2 linked regions of the Rhinolophus ferrumequinum genome follow. The protein of the gene in region 1 purifies or fractionates together with the protein of each later gene. This does not show direct contact. Links are inferred from orthologs where the notes say so. Each region holds a gene or a part of one and is shown in the gene's direction. Other genes may lie near its edges.

What was found.
Region 2: the proteins of SPAST (region 1) and NUP98 purify together in Homo sapiens (affinity purification with mass spectrometry; 3 studies listed by BioGRID and IntAct, counting the BioPlex papers as one, with this or other methods). This does not show direct contact. The link is inferred for Rhinolophus ferrumequinum from reciprocal best matches to the Homo sapiens genes SPAST and NUP98.

Annotation. Positions count from the first base shown.
Region 1 is NC_046296.1:49,702,291-49,710,188, reverse strand, and holds the start of SPAST (spastin), read left to right. Parts: upstream 1-4,894; 5' UTR 4,895-5,179; coding exon 5,180-5,588; intron 5,589-7,898. UniProt on the Homo sapiens protein: ATP-dependent microtubule severing protein that specifically recognizes and cuts microtubules that are polyglutamylated.
Region 2 is NC_046294.1:47,376,136-47,383,881, forward strand, and holds the start of NUP98 (nuclear pore complex protein Nup98-Nup96), read left to right. Parts: upstream 1-4,646; 5' UTR 4,647-4,777; exon of another isoform or gene 4,778-4,902; intron 4,903-7,746. UniProt on the Homo sapiens protein: Plays a role in the nuclear pore complex (NPC) assembly and/or maintenance. NUP98 and NUP96 are involved in the bidirectional transport across the NPC. May anchor NUP153 and TPR to the NPC.

The DNA of each region.
Region 1 (7,898 bases):
TTGTCCATAATTATATATTTGCTTATTAACACAGCTATAGGATGATAATCCCCTGATTGTTCCCATCCCTCACCTTCAACCATGTCTTTTGTTTCTTTTAAGTTTTCTGCTTTTCTCAAAATCAGTCATCTCCTCTCTTGGTTCTAGGTATGCCATTTTATTTTACTTACTATTATTTTTTTCATTTAAAAGAGGTCCTTAACATCTGTCATTGGTCCCTACTTCAAATAATCCAGCATATCTCAAGATAAAGATTTAGGGAGTTCCTTAGAAGTAGAGCTAAAATATCCAAACAACTATTTGGTGATAGTTACTTCGTAAATAGATTAATGGGTTAAAGTGATAAAGTGACCAAATGTCCTGGATTAGTTAGCACAGTACTCAGTTCCTCCTTTTTGTCCTGGTGACACTGGCCCAGATTCCATTCAAGATTAAGTGTCCTGCAAGTTCTTACCATCTGAAAACTGGGAGGCTGTCACGCTGTAGATTAAATGGCTGAGGTTAGAATCCTCAGTCCAGGCAGATTATAAGGCCAGGGTGACATTCAGGCACTATTTTTCTTGAGATACATTTAGAAAGATGTTAATTCAGAAAATGGGTGTGACTGGGATATAATTCCAAGAGGCAGAAGATGTGGGTTGCGATTACTAAAAATTGAGATCCCAGTACTTTCTGAATTGTGAAATGGCACTGTAGGCATAAGAGACAAAAACAAATAAATTGATTAAGCTTTCTTATGTTACAGGACTTTTCCTGGAGGTTTTAGATTTTTTCATTTTGTAATTTAATTCTTATTCAGTTTCTTTTACACAGGAGTTAACCAAAGAACTTGTCCCACATCACACAACTAAGTGGCGGAACTAGAGTCTTTCTGACTCTCAATGCCATATTTTTACCATGCCAAAAAATAAAAAATGGCCAAGGTACAGAAATGCACAGTCAAAATTAAGTACAACTGGATAGTAGAGACTTAACAAGTGGAAGGCCAGAGGCCAGAAACTCAACATCTGGATGACCAGGAAGGAAAGATTACTCCTGCTCCAGGGGCTAAAAACGTATTTATTTCATAATTAATAAAATATAAACAGATGATATAAAAATGTTTTTTTCTGGAAGCAAGCCTAGATTTTTACCTTAAGACCTGAAGTAGATGTGTCATTAACTAATATATGCTGTTGAGCAAGTAATGTTAGAGTCTCAAATTTCTTATTTTAAAAAATGGAGTAAGAAAAGATGATATAGGAACATTTGTGACAACATGGATGGATCTTGAGAGTATAATGCTAAGCTACATAAGTCAGACAGAAAAAGCAGAGAACCATACGATTTAACTGATATGTGGTATATAAACCAAAAACAACAAAAGAACAAGACAAACAAGTGAGAAACAAAAACTCATAGACACAGACAATAGTTTAGTGGTTACCAGAGAGTAAGGGGGTTGGGGGGTGGGAGATGAGGGTAAGGGGATCAAATATATGGTAATGGAAGGAGAAGTGACTCTGGGTGGTGAACACACAATGGGATTTATAGATGATGTAATACAGAATTGTACACCTGAAACCTATGTAATTTTATTAACAGTTGTCACCCCAATAAATAAATAAAAAAATGGAAACAATATCGTTTAACTCAAATAGTGATGATTACATAAGAGAGTAAAAGTTAAACTGCTTAGCCCAGAATATGGGTTCAGTAAATGTTAGTAATAATAGTCATCATCATCATTGTTGTTGTTGTCTCCTTAAATTTAAGTAAGTTAATTTACCTCATGATTGAAACTAAGAAGGTTTCTATAATTCCGAAAAATGGTTGGGAAATGCTTTCTTAGATGAGTGGTCCATCCTAAGCTCCAATGTGAACCTGAGGTAAAAGGAAATTCTACATATAATCATGGTGGTAGATTACTTGCAAAGATGCCACAATAATTCCATATGGAATTATATATATATATGAATATATCCCTTTACAATGTGCCTTTGCCACTCCTCCATCAAGATGTAGAATTTATTTTCCCATCTCTTAAACTGGAGTTGGCCTTGTGATTTGCTTTCATGACAGAATGCAACAGAAATTACATTGTACAACTTTAGAGTTTAGGCTTTAAGAGGGTTTGCAGCTTCCACTCATACTGTCTTGGAAGCCAGATGCTATATAAAAAAGTCTGGAATATCCTGCTGGAGACATATACCCCAGCGAATAGCCACCACCTGCATCTGGACGTGTGCGTGAGGATAACTAAGTCACCCAGCCCAGTCAAGCCATCAGATGACTTCATCCACATGAATAACCCTACGCAAGGCTGGCATAAGAACCATCCAGCTGAACCTAGCTCAAAATGCTGACTCATAGAATTGTAAGTAAATAAATGGCTGTTACCTTAAACCAGTAAGTTTTGGAGTGGCTTATTACACAACAACAGATATCTACAACAATCACCATATTTGAATTGTTTTTAAAATTATTAATATTTATTAAATGAATACCAACAGCAAGGCATCAGGCGAGGTGCAGAAAGTGAGACAAATTATGTAAAGTTTGTCCACTGCCTTGAAATAAGTTTATAATCTATATCAGGAGGTGATAAAGTATTTAAGTAACTATTACACAAGGCACTGTATTAAAAGAGCCATCGAGTAACAACCATATTGTCATAAGAATTAAAAAATAGGATTATTTCTGCTGGAGGTGATAAGGGAAGGATTAATCAAGAAAATAACATTACAGTTAAGCCTTGAAAGATTTTGACAGTGGAGGTTGGAAGAGAAGCAATTCTACGGGAAAGAAAAATGAATGAGAATTATAGTCCCAGGAGAGAGTAAAGAATGCTCACACTTGTCAATAGTTTTAGTTTTAGTTTTAGTTTATATGTGTAGCTATGGGAGCGCCGTTCTTCATTCAACAAATAAGCAACAACTTCATTCCAGGCACTGCCTACTTCTCTGTTATTATGTAATAGATGTGGAAACTGAAACAGAGCTGTGGAAGCTGTCACTAATCCAAGCTCACAGAAAGTGATGGAGCAGGGATTTGAATACAACCATTTTGATTCCAGAACACTGTATTGGGCCATGTCTTGAGTAAATTAAAAAGTTAGTTACATAAGGAAAAATATATCCTGGCACCAAACTGAATATCCACCAACAGTTAAATAGTAAAATAAATTGTGGTAAATTTATATAATGGAATATAGCAGTGAAAATAAAAGTACTATAATTATACAAAACAAGCAGAAATCTCCAACACTTAAATATTGAGCAGAAAAAGCTAATTAAGAAGAAAACATGCAGTATAATTGTGTCAAAATCAGGCAAAATTATGTTGTTTAGAGATAACTACATACATTGCAAAACTAAAACGAAAGTCAAAGAAATGATGAGTACAAAATTCAGGATAGTGGCTTCCTCCAGAGGGGGAGAAAAGAAATTGAAATTAGGGAGGGGTCATAGAGTTCTTCAAGGAACTGGTTACATTAGTTTTTCTTAAACTGGATCCTGTTTATCATTTTAAACTACAGATATGTTACACATATCTTGTGTACATGATATATGTTTAAATGTAATAGATTTCACACAACAAAAAGTACTGTGGGGTTCAAAAGAAAAAAGCCAGGAATTGAAATGAATCAGATATTAGAGAGGGCATTTCAGAAAAAACAGAGGCAGGAAAAGGGGTTGAAGAGAGGAAAAATAGGAAAGAAATAGGGAGATGGTTATTTTTTACAGTAGCCTATATTTGTAGGGAAGTAGTGGTGGGAAAAATTTAGATAAAGTTGTGGCCAGAATGTGGAGATTCTTGGAAGCTGGCCTGAAGCATTTGTAAACCTCACACTGTAAACAATGGGGACTTTGTATCAGTTAGCATTCCTTAGTTTTAGGTAACATAAAACAATTATGACTAACCCAAATAAAAAGAGAAAAAAGAGAGAGGTAGAGAGATGGATGGAGAGAGAGGAGGGAAGGAGAAAGGGAGAGGAAGAAGAGAAACAGAAACAGAGAAATAGACTGAGTAGTTTTATTGGATAGGTTACATTATCAAGTGACCAGTCTAGGAACCTGGCATCTCTGGGGATCTCAGGGAGATGAACTGATAGACCAGCTCTTTAGGGCACTCAGTTCCTACTACCTTTTATCCCAGTGTATCTCCATCCAAGATTTCAGTTTCTAGGAGAGTATCAATGACCTAGTATGTCTACTTCTGTGATCTGGGAGGTGGGGTTCTGTGCTTGCAGCTCATTAGACTACAGGCAGCAGAGGTATGTAGGTAGATCCCCAAAGGAAGGTACATCGAATAGAATTTTTTTTTTTTTCAAAAAAGGCCCCGTATGGTTTCCTCAGTGAACTATGGGATGATTACTGTCCAAAACTTGATTCCCTTATTCAAGCAAATTGTCTTCATCTAAACATGTACTAATTTAAACCTCTGGAATCGTTGACGTCATTCCACTGAGCTAACATTATCGTTTTGAGTGACCTTACGTTTGTACGTCTCTACTACTGCACCCATCTCAGATAATTACCAGATTTGGTACCTATTGCTTGAGATAGAACTCAAGTTAATTATCCTTTGCGGAAGATTGGCAGAAAACGCTAAAAGAAATACATATAAGAAAACGATGACACTCCGAGACAGAAACCCAGCGACCTAGCCGAGCGACGCCAAACTGCTGCCGTCCCTACTGTGAGTTGAGCAACGTTCCCAGCTCAGGAGCTCCCAGGGGCGGTTAAACCCGCAGCGACGGTCCGAGCCCATCGCGTAGAGCCGAACTGCACACTGGGAACTTTAGTTCCTCAGGGAAGGGACCGAGGGGCGGACGCCGCACAAGCGCACTAGGAGCTCAGGGCAACAAAAGACGGCGGCGTGCGCGCGCGCGCCGGAGAAAGACACGGGACGGCGTGCGCGCGCGGCCGCCTCTCTGAGCTACCGGAGGCGGCTGAGAGGACAGAGAGAGGGAGGGGCAGAAACCAACGACCGCAGGAGGAGGAGAAGGGGTTGTGCTCCCGGCCTTGAGAGGAGAAAGGGGCGGGGCCGACGAGCCGCGTGTGGAGGTGCCGAGCTCTTGGGACCTGCCAGCGCGCGGGGGTTTTGGCCCTCGCCGTCCCTGTGGCCGCTGCCGTCCCTTAGTCGCCGTCGGTCTGCGGGAGACGGGTTATGGCGGCGGCGGCAGTGGGAGCTGTGAATGAATTCTCCGGGCGGACGAGGGAAGAAAAAAGGCTCCGGCGGCGCCAGCAGCCCGGTGCCTCCCAGGCCTCCGCCCCCCTGCCTGGCCCCCGCCCGTCCCGCCCCCAGGCCGGCCCCTCCGCCGGAGTCGCTGCATAAGCGGAACCTGTACTACTTCTCCTACCCGCTGTTCGTAGGCTTCGCGCTGCTGCGTTTGGTCGCCTTCCACCTGGGGCTCCTCTTCGTGTGGCTCTGCCAGCGCTTCTCCCGCGCCCTCATGGCCGCCAAGAGGAGCTCCCCGGCTGCGCCGTCGTCGGCCTCACCACCGGCGCCGGTGCCGGGCGGGGAGGCTGAGCGCGTCCGAGCCTTCCACAAACAGGCCTTCGAGTACATCTCTGTTGCCCTGCGCATCGATGAGGACGAGAAAGGTAACCGGAGGGCTGGGGGGAAGGGGCGGCGGCGCCGGGAAGAAATTGGTGGGGTCGCCGAAAGAGGGCAACACCTGCGTCCCTTTCCTGCGGGAGCGGGCTGTGCACCCCCGGAATTGATCCGCCCCATGAGACTGCTTCCCCGCAGTCAGACCTTCATCCTCTACGATTCTCAGTTAAAATCTCTCCCCTTTCAGGGCGCTCTAGCTGTCGACTTGGTTTCAGACACCGGCCTTCCCCTACACTTCTCAGGACCCAAGTCTCTATGAGATATCTGGACGTGCTGATGACAGTGACAGTTGTCCTAGAGTGACCACACGGATTCTTTCTCGCACTGTAAACAGTGTGTCTTCCTTTGAGCCAGGTTTCTAAAAGGTTTTGATATCGAAGAAGCTGTGCCTTGTTATAGCCTTTTAATGAAAGCAGAGTACTGTAGTGTCAAAAAAAAAGAACAAATGGTGACTTAATTTTGAAAAGAACAGCTGCATATGATTACAGCTGAATTTGCATTTTTAAAGTTTCATGACAGTCATTTGATCAGTATAATGACTCCTAAGTATTTTTCAGTAAAGTTTTAGCGTAAAACTTTGTCTCTGGTTAGTTTGATTTTATCTAAATCAGTATTCCAAGGTAGCCTCTGTGTTTCTAAATTGAAATGTTAAGTGAATGAGTAGGATAAACTTATACCATTTTACAATAAAACTTAAAATGTTTCTGAACGAAAGCAAAGATACTACATCCTTCAGATTCCTTTTAAGCTAATGTTTTTTAGCCTTTCTATGTGTCAGGCACGGTGCTCTTAGCTTTGCATGTGTTATCTATTTAATCCTCACAATTACCCTGTGAGGTGAAGGTACTGTTACTGTCAGCATGTTACAGATGAACAAACTAAGGCTCCAAAGATTAAAGCAGATCATTCCAAACCTATGCTAGTTGCTAATGAAAGTTTTTTTTATGGAAGATGATAAATGAAATTAGGAATAACATTTTGAAAATTCCTGTTTTCATCCCAACTCCAGTATGCTGAGATTTTCTTTTCCCTCTAACTACCAAAGAATAGTTTTCTACCACACCTCAATTAAGTACTCACTTGCATTGTCCATTAGTTAAATTAAAAAAAAAAAAGCCAATCTGCACTTCATTTGTAGTCGCTCTCTCTCCACTATCAACTCCAGAGACTGTTCTAGAATTTCAGTTTTGTTGAAACCTATTTCTTTGGTGGGGCGAGGTAGTAAGAAGTAGGATATAAGGAAAGGCAGTGATTGGTGGTTTTGGAGTGTAAGAGTGGAGGTTAAGAGGGTTCAAGGAAGGAGACACACTTAAGAAAAAATACCATGTATTTCTGGAAGGAAGTGTTTTGTTAACTGCTTCATTCTTTACCACCTCTTAGGAACATCCAAGGATCTCTTGGGGAGGATGAAGAAGGGTACCATCGTCCTTTCCTAGAGAAGCACTGTTTTATTGCAGTACCCTATTACAATAGGGTCCTCTGAAGTTGATTAATCTAGGTCAAAAGATGTTTTTGAGTAGAGGAAATATGTTTAAAGGTAGATTAATTGTTGTGTTTAGGAAGAGAATGCCAGAAAATAAAATTCTAGTTAATACTGGGTGGTGGGCGTTGGGAGGTAGGATAAGGAGAGAGGTCAAGGAAAACCGAGGTATGGAAAAGGAAAAAGACCCTAGGCTCTTAGATTAGCAGAAAAATCAGTTCTGTGTGAGGATTCGTGACAGAAGTAGAATTCAGACCTTGAGTTTCATGCTAGTGATTTATCTTTGAGTATCACATATGCATATATTATATTTAAATCCTTCTAACATATTTCCTTATGTATAAATATTTCAGCAATCTACGTGCCCCTTATTTCACCCTCTTTCTACTGATGATGTTTGTATTCAAAGGCTTTTGTTTTATTTATGTGTTAATTTCTAAAGTGAACATCAGAATGGGCTATGATAACTCTTCAGTTTGAATTCTATAACTGATGAATCATGAGAAAATAAATTCAAACAAACAAATTAGTTATATATTCATTTTCCTGTAAAAATGAAGTAAAACAGAGTTCATATTGTCATGGTTCTATCTTAAGTTTTTCCTTTAGCATATTGAAAAATTTTGTACTTCAGCCTTAATCGAGTTGGTGTAAGAATTCACATTTGAAGTCTATTTGCCTCAGAGCCATCCTTGACAATACAGAACTTAATTCCAAGAGAATTTCATTCTCCCTCTTTCACACTGCATTAAAATATATATCAACAACAACAAACATACATACATATAAACAAATAGAAATGAACTGGATAGGCAGTCTT
Region 2 (7,746 bases), on another chromosome or scaffold:
GGAACAACTAAAATGTTATTCAACTCATGAATGTATAAACAAAATGTGATATCCATAAAATAAAATATTATTTGACCATAAAAAGGAATGAGGTACTGATGTACAACATGGATGAACCTTGAAAACATTATGCCAAGTGAAATAAATCAGACACAGAGACCGCATATTTATGATTCCATTTATATGAAATGTCCAGACTAGACAAATCCATTGAGACAAAGCAGATTAGTAGTTGCCAGGGGCTGGGGAAGGGGGAGTTGGAGAACGACTGCTAATGGAGCTGGGGTTTCTATTCATGGTTACGAAAATGTTCTGAAATTGGACAGTCGTGATGGTTGCACAACCTTGTGAATATACTAAAATACTAAATATACTAAAAACCTCTGAATTGTACTCTTTAAGTGGGTGAATGTGAATTATATGTGAATTATTATTATACGTGAATTATATCCTCATGTTATGTGAATTATATCTCAATTTAAAAAATCTGACAAAGATCTGGGTTTCAATAAATGGCAATTATTATTATAAATAAATAAATAAAGGAGAGGAGAAATCTGGTCAATATGGCGGAGTAGAATCTTAAAAAAAGAAAACAGTTATTCTCATAAACTAACGCAAGTGAGAAATGTGAGGAGGAAAAATAAATAAAGGAGAGGCAGAAAAATAATTGAAAGGACAGTAGAAAGTATAAAGTGTTAGATAAAATCCTGAATATACCAGTAAATTCATTAACTGCAATGAACTAAATGCTCTAGTTAAAAGTCAAAGGTATTGGGGCTGGCCCGGTGGCTCAGGCGGTTGGAGCTCCATGCTCCTAACTCCGAAGGCTGCCCGTTCGATTCCCACATGGGCCAGAGGGCTCTCAACCACAAGGTTGCCGGTTCCATTTCTCGAGTCCCGCAAGGGATGGTGGGCAGCGCCCCCTGCAACTAAGATTGAACACGGCACCTTGAGCTGAGCTGCCACTGAGCTCCCGGATGGCTCAGTTGGTTGGAGCACGTCCTCTCAACCACAAGGTTGCCGGTTCAACTCCTCCAAGGGATGGTGGGCTGCGCCCAGTGCAACTAGCAATGGCAACCGGACCTGGAGCTGAGCTGCGCCCTCCACAACTAAAATTGAAAGGACAACAAGTTGACTTGGAAAAAAGTCCTGGAAGTAGTACACACTGTTCTTCAATAAAGTCCTGTTCCCTTTCCCCAATTAAAAAAAAAATTTTTTAAAAATCTTAAAAAAAAAGTAATTAAAAAAAAAAGTCAAAGGTATTCACACAAGATTTATAAAAATACATGCTATTTGCAAACATCACCCTTCACTATCAAGTTATAGGAAAAGAGGAAGGAAGTCAACATTTACTGAGTGCTTACTATGTGCCAAACATGTACCCAGTCCAGTCCTTTGCAAATTCCATTATCTTATTTGAACTTTACAACCACCTTATAAAACAGGAATTACTGTGCCCATTTTATAGCAAGAAAACTGGGGCACAGAACAATTAAATAATTTGTGCAAAGTCTAAAAAGTAGCAGATCTGGCAGTTGAACTTAGCTGTATGACTCCAATTCTGCTGCTCTTTCCAATGCACCATGTAAGAAATCTAGAACCATCCCAAGGAAGTGTCTTGCCCTTCCATGATTCTGCAATCTCTAGAGGACTATCTCCTCCCTGAGCTCCAATTCCTCATTGCTGCATAAAGTGAGTTCTCAGGGCATGTATGTGAGAGACTGGGGGTTCCCAGGACAGAACTGGCCATGGCAGAGTTTTGAGCTGTGGACATCTCTGGGCTACTGATGCCAAAACAGGGCTTGGCTCCACAAGCTTTTGTGAACATACACCAAACTCCATGTCTGTAGAAGTTCTTCCCTGGGCAGAAATCCCTGAGAATGATGAGCTTGTGGGCCACATGCCTACAGAGTACCTAACAAGAGTCCTTCACTTCGAAACCACCATGTTCACAGGGAATTCCTCCCTGGAGCATTCCTCATCCAATTCGTCCTCTTCTCCCTCCAGTTTTCCCGCAAGTATTTAAGGGTCCTAGGTCTTGCACACCCACTAGTACTTTGGACTGAATGTCCTCACTCCCTCAAGACATATTTCTGAGCCCCTTTTCTAAGAATCATGTCTTAGACTAATTAGAATTCCTTGACATTTTTAAAGAATATAAATAATATCTACCATTCACTGAGGGATTACTGTGTACCAGGTACCTGATAAGTGCTTTATCACATTTAATTCTCACAATTACCCTGTGGGGAAAGTAGGGTTATCCCCATTTTTACAGACACGGAAACTGAGACTCAGAGGGGTTAAGAAATTTGCCCAAGTTCATACAGCTAATACATGGTTGGGCTCAAATATAAACCCAGGCTTCTCCAACTCAAAAATTTCACACTTCTATTTTTCTACTTAAGAAAATAATTCACTCATTCATGCATCAAACATTTAATGTGCGCCTGTACTGTGTGTTTGGCCTTAAGGACACCAGACTAAATACCGTGTTTCCCCGAAAATAAGACCTAGCCAGACAATCAGCTCTAATGCGTCTTTTGGAACAAAAGTTAATATAAGACCCGGTATTATATTATATTATTATATTATACTATATATTATGCAAGACTGGGCCTTATATTATAGTAAAATAAGACCAGGTCTTATATTAATTTTTGCTCCAAAGGACACATTAGAGTTGATTGTCCGGCTAGGTCTCATTTTCGGGGAAACACAGTAAGTAGGGGAAAGGTTTGGTTGGGTTTGAGGATTGAAAGATGACAAATCAAAGGTTCAGAAGGGCAATGAGGAAGCTATTGTAACTATCCGGGGAGAACTGATGACTTTCTGATGCAGCACATAGGTAAGAGAGGGTGGAGGAAAAAGAGAGATATTTGGGTGGAGGAGTTGGGGGAAGGTGGTTGGAGTCAGATATTCAAACTAGTTTTACTATTCGACACTCCACGTATTTTTTTCCTTCTTCTTTCAAGCATCTACTGAGCACCTACAAGGTACCAGATTTCTCCTATCCATTATCTTATTTCATCTTTATGACCACTCCACTGTTTGACAAATTAATCAATTATCTCCAATCTCTTGCCACCACTGAAAACCCACAGGGATTTAAGGTCACCTACTTTTGGGCAGAGCCCATTTCAATTTTGTATTGATGCCCCAGGAGGAGGCAGGCGGTGGTGGAGAGGTAAATCAAGTAGGCTTTCTGAGCACAGTCGGTGCTATTCTATGTGGGACTCTCAGTCACTAGGCCTAGTTTTTAGAACATGCTCAACCCTCCCCTTTGTAATATCAGGCTTCTGCACCAGGCTTGGCCCAAGGGAAAGGAACACCAATATTAAAGAAAAAAACCATAGGCCCAAGATGGCATCACTGATGCCAAAAGCCCATAATACCAAACCTCGATTTAATAATTGATCTAATTGTATTTTCAACCTCTCCTAGAAACATGACCTTAATCAAACCACTATGAAAATTTCTGGTCAAGCACCAGTGAGGTAACCTGTCACACAGGCCCTCTCCATCCTCCATAGAAAGGAGTAATCTACATAATAAAAACCCTTCCCCTTCTCCTCCCTCAAAGAAAAGATGTCAGAGCCCCAAAATAATCCTTACTTTTGCTAATAGCTCCCTTGCCTCACCCTTCTTCCTATAAAATCCTTCCATTTGTACAACCTCTCAGTTGCCTTTCCAGTTGCTAGATGGGATGCTGCCCAATTAATGAATGGCTTAATAAAGCCAATCAGATCTGCAAATTTACTTGGTTGAATTTTGTTTTTTAACACCAAGATGAAGAAAATGCAGCTCTGACCTCCAAGAGCCGCGGCACAGAAGACAGGAAAGTAATAGGATACAAAGTGACAAGGCTGTAACAGAGGCCTGCCCAAGCATTAACCCAACTTGCTGAGAGAGATTCAGCGAATGTATCCTAGAGAAGGTGGGAGCATTTGAACAGAACTTTAAGAATAACTGGGGATTCCTAAAGGGCAGGTGGGAAAGAAGTTCCAAGAATCCTCATTTGTACCAAGTTTTTTGCTGAACCATCCCCTTAGGGCATCTCTGATGCTCATAACATCTATTCTAGGGATTCCGAGAGGGAAAGGTGCTGGGGCTTGCGTGGGACAGGAGACCAGAAGGCCTGGTTTTAAGGCCTCGGAGCAGCTGCAGGAAAGCTACGCGGGCAGTCAGAGTTCCCAGGGGGGCCCTCTAGCTCTATAAGAGGTCTGGCCAAGAAGTGAGGGAAGGACGACCGGGAAACCTTCCCATCACCGCCCACGGATTGGGGCAAGGTGTGGGTAGAATAGTTACCATGCCATCCTGGAGCCTTTCCTCTGATTGGCTGGAGCTTCAGCAGCGGGTCTCTTCGCTCCAAGGAAGTGGGCGGAGCTTCGATAAGCGTCACCGCTCTTCTCCCACACCCCGCCCAACGTAGCCACTCACCAGCCCACTTCGAGGGGCCCTGTGTTACGTCACGACTCTCTCCCAGCCAACGGCGGCGGTGAGGGCCAGAGCTCCACGTCCCTCCCACCAACCCTCCCCCTTCCTCCCCCTAACTTCTTAGGCCCCTCCTCTTCCTCTTCTCCCCTTCTCTCAAAGACCTCCCTCACGTTGGGTTTCAAAAGAGTCGTTGCCCAATGAGTAACAGGGTGGGCCTAGAGTGGCGGCGGCGTTTGCCAATGCTCAGGCAGCGAGGGCGGAGCGCCCGGAGCGAGCCTCTGACGGCGGGCGGCGTGTGACGCAGTCGGGCCCACTGTGCGCTGCGCCCGAAGCGGCGGTAGGTATCGGCGGTGGCAGCGGCGGCGACGGTTTCGTGGCAGCCGCGCGCTGCTCGCTGAGCGGCGGGTGGTGGACGGGCCTAGGCCCTCACTCTTGACATTTCCCCTCCCCCACCGCACCACGGTAAGTCGGTAGTCGGGGCGGTGGCGGCCAGGGACCGGCAGGCTCCTCCTTTCTTCAGGGCGGGCGGTGCGCCGGGCGTCCCAGGGCCTCTCCGCGCCGAAGTCTCGCGCCCCGGCGGCACCTTCTGCCCTGAGGGAGGGGGCGGGGCCCGCAATCCTGCGGCCGGGAGGCCCGGCTCTTCCGGAACTGGAAGGGAATCGCTCTTGGTGGGGTCTGGGTCCGGGGTGTCTCCGGTCGCAGCCTACGCTGAGGGAGCGTCCATCAATCCAGGCTCATTCATTTGCCCGGCGGTGACTAGGTGGGCCGGTCCTTAGCGGGAACAGCGCTTTAACACCAGGAATATGGTCTCCCTGCACTTCCTTGACTGTTGTGTGGGATGGGCTTTATTTGCCTTGTCCTCTCCTACAGGAGACATTTGCAGCCCCAGGGTTGGGGTGGGTGGGTCGGGAGTTTGTTAGCTTTTTAAAACACCCGAGAATTAAGGTCGGTTTAGTGGAGTAAAAGATTATTTTCTGGCCTCCCACGTGTTCCATGTAAAGCTAGATGAGAAGAAAGATGGGGTTTCTGGATTACTATAATATATAGCCATAAGGATCTTAGAAATTAAGCCCATTTCCCTACTTCATATCACGTACAGGTTTTACAGATGAAGAAACCGAGGCCAGTGAAGGGACAGAATTAGCCAATTCCAGATCTGGCCCAGTCTAAAAATATGTCTACTACATCACTCTCCCTTGGTGTTCCACTTTCCATTATGAGGACTCCCTTCGGTTGTAGGGGTGAGGGACGGGGGCTGTCGGTAGTTAGAAGTAGGTACAGTCTTCAGTAGCGTTTCCGACTTAGTTACCACCAGCTCTGTTTGATTAGTGGTACCCTAAAACTAGACCATGAAAACTAAATTTAAACTTTGGTTAAAGAATGCTAGTAATGTTATGTATTGGAAAAACGAATCGGTAAAACCAGAAGTCATTGGCTAGTTTCCTGTTCCAAACCTAAAATTTTTATTTGTAGCAGCTGCAGGGGACTCAGAAGAAAGTGTCTGGTTAATGACCCACAGCAGTATTGGAGTAGAAAGCAGGAAATATAGCTGAGACTTAGAAAGGCAGACAGTCATTTTGTAGTTCTTGTATCTTGAAACTCATGGCTTCTCTCTGGTACAGAATTTAAAGTTTTGTAGTAGAAGAAGGTAAGAAAAATTAAACTCCGTTTTGGAAGAGGAAACTAACTAGAAGAAAGAAAAGAGAAGTAAGCGGTCCCTGTGACAGCCTTATAAATTCAGAAAGAAATGCTTGTGAATTGGGTGACAGATGCTATGTTTATTTGGTGGAAGAAGTCAGGATATTTAAAACACAAAACCAGAAGTTGGACAGGATGGAGGTACTGGGGAATACTTTGATAAAAGTATTTTTTGACTCTTCATTAAGATTTGATGAAATTGAATTTGTTGCTGCTTTGGTCTGTTTACATCACTCGGATCACCACTTTGCTCTTGTTTAGATGACAAAGCAAAAACTGAAAGATAGTGTGTAAGAGCAGAAGAGAACTGTAGTCTAAATACTAAAATGTGAACAAGGTATATTTTCTGTGACATTTCTCAGTTCAAGCATCACCCTATTCTAGGAAGCCTTTCCTGGCATTTTCTCCCCTGTAAGCTTCCGTAACACTTGTTTGATACTTTTATTTATAGCACAAATCATTTTGTGTTTTAGCTGTTTGTCTTTTTATTAGACTGGTAAAATATTTTTGTCTTTGTATTCAGGTTGACACATAGTAGGACCTCAGTAAGTGTGTTTGCTTGAATGAATAAATAAATACGGAGGAGTTAAACCTAAAAATAGTCTATAAAGAGGTTGGGTATTTGTGTGCTCCTGAAATGTGGGGCCCAGGTTAGAGTTCACATGGTACTTTGGTACCTGACCTTATTCACGTCCACTAGCACCTAGATAGCTAAGAGCAAGTAGAACTTTTAGGGAACCAATTTAACAGCTTAGGAAAAATAAGTTATTTTTATTGTGATATTTTTATGGTGGTAATTAACCTAGGAAGTAAGGGGTAGTAGTGCTGATGTTTAATTTCAAATAAAGAGCACATTTATAGTTATGAAATCTGTTGAAAGGTTGAAGGATTTAGAGATTTAACAATAAGTATTAGAGCCAAGTTATGTAAACATTTCTTGACAATTTGGTGCATTCTTTATGTTTGGAATTGAACCTAAATACAGTAATTCCTCATGTGGCATCGTCGATAGGTTCTTGGACCTGCAGCAAAACATTGTATAACGAAACCAGTTTTACCATAGGCGAATTGATATTAACAAGAGTTCCAATCACATCTCATCAACGTTATAATAAAATGACAATGTTGCGTGAAATGATATTATTGGAGGACTTGCTGTGTTCAACATAGTGTGTCTGTAGAACAAGGTTTCTCGGCCTCGGCGCTTAGCACTTTGGGCCGGATAATTCTTTATTATGAGGGAGCTGTCTTGTGTATTGTAGAATGTTTATTTAGCAGCATTCCTGGCCTCTGCCTATTAGATACCTGTAATACCCCCTCCCCAAGTTGTAACAATCCAGAATGTCTCCAGACATTGTCAGATGCCCCCTGGGTGGCAAACTTGCCCCTGATTGAGACCATTACTCTAGAGAAAACATTCCCAATATTTCCGTAAAATCATATCTTTATGGTGCCTGGTGTATGCTTGTAAAGTCAGCTAATAAGTTGTGTTTCGTTAAAATTGTCCTTGAAAAAACCTTAAATTGTCGAAATCTAGTGGGAAGCTGAAAAGATTAAGATTACTAGACTTCATTTTCTCTAGTTTCTCCTTTCATTTCTGTGGTAGTC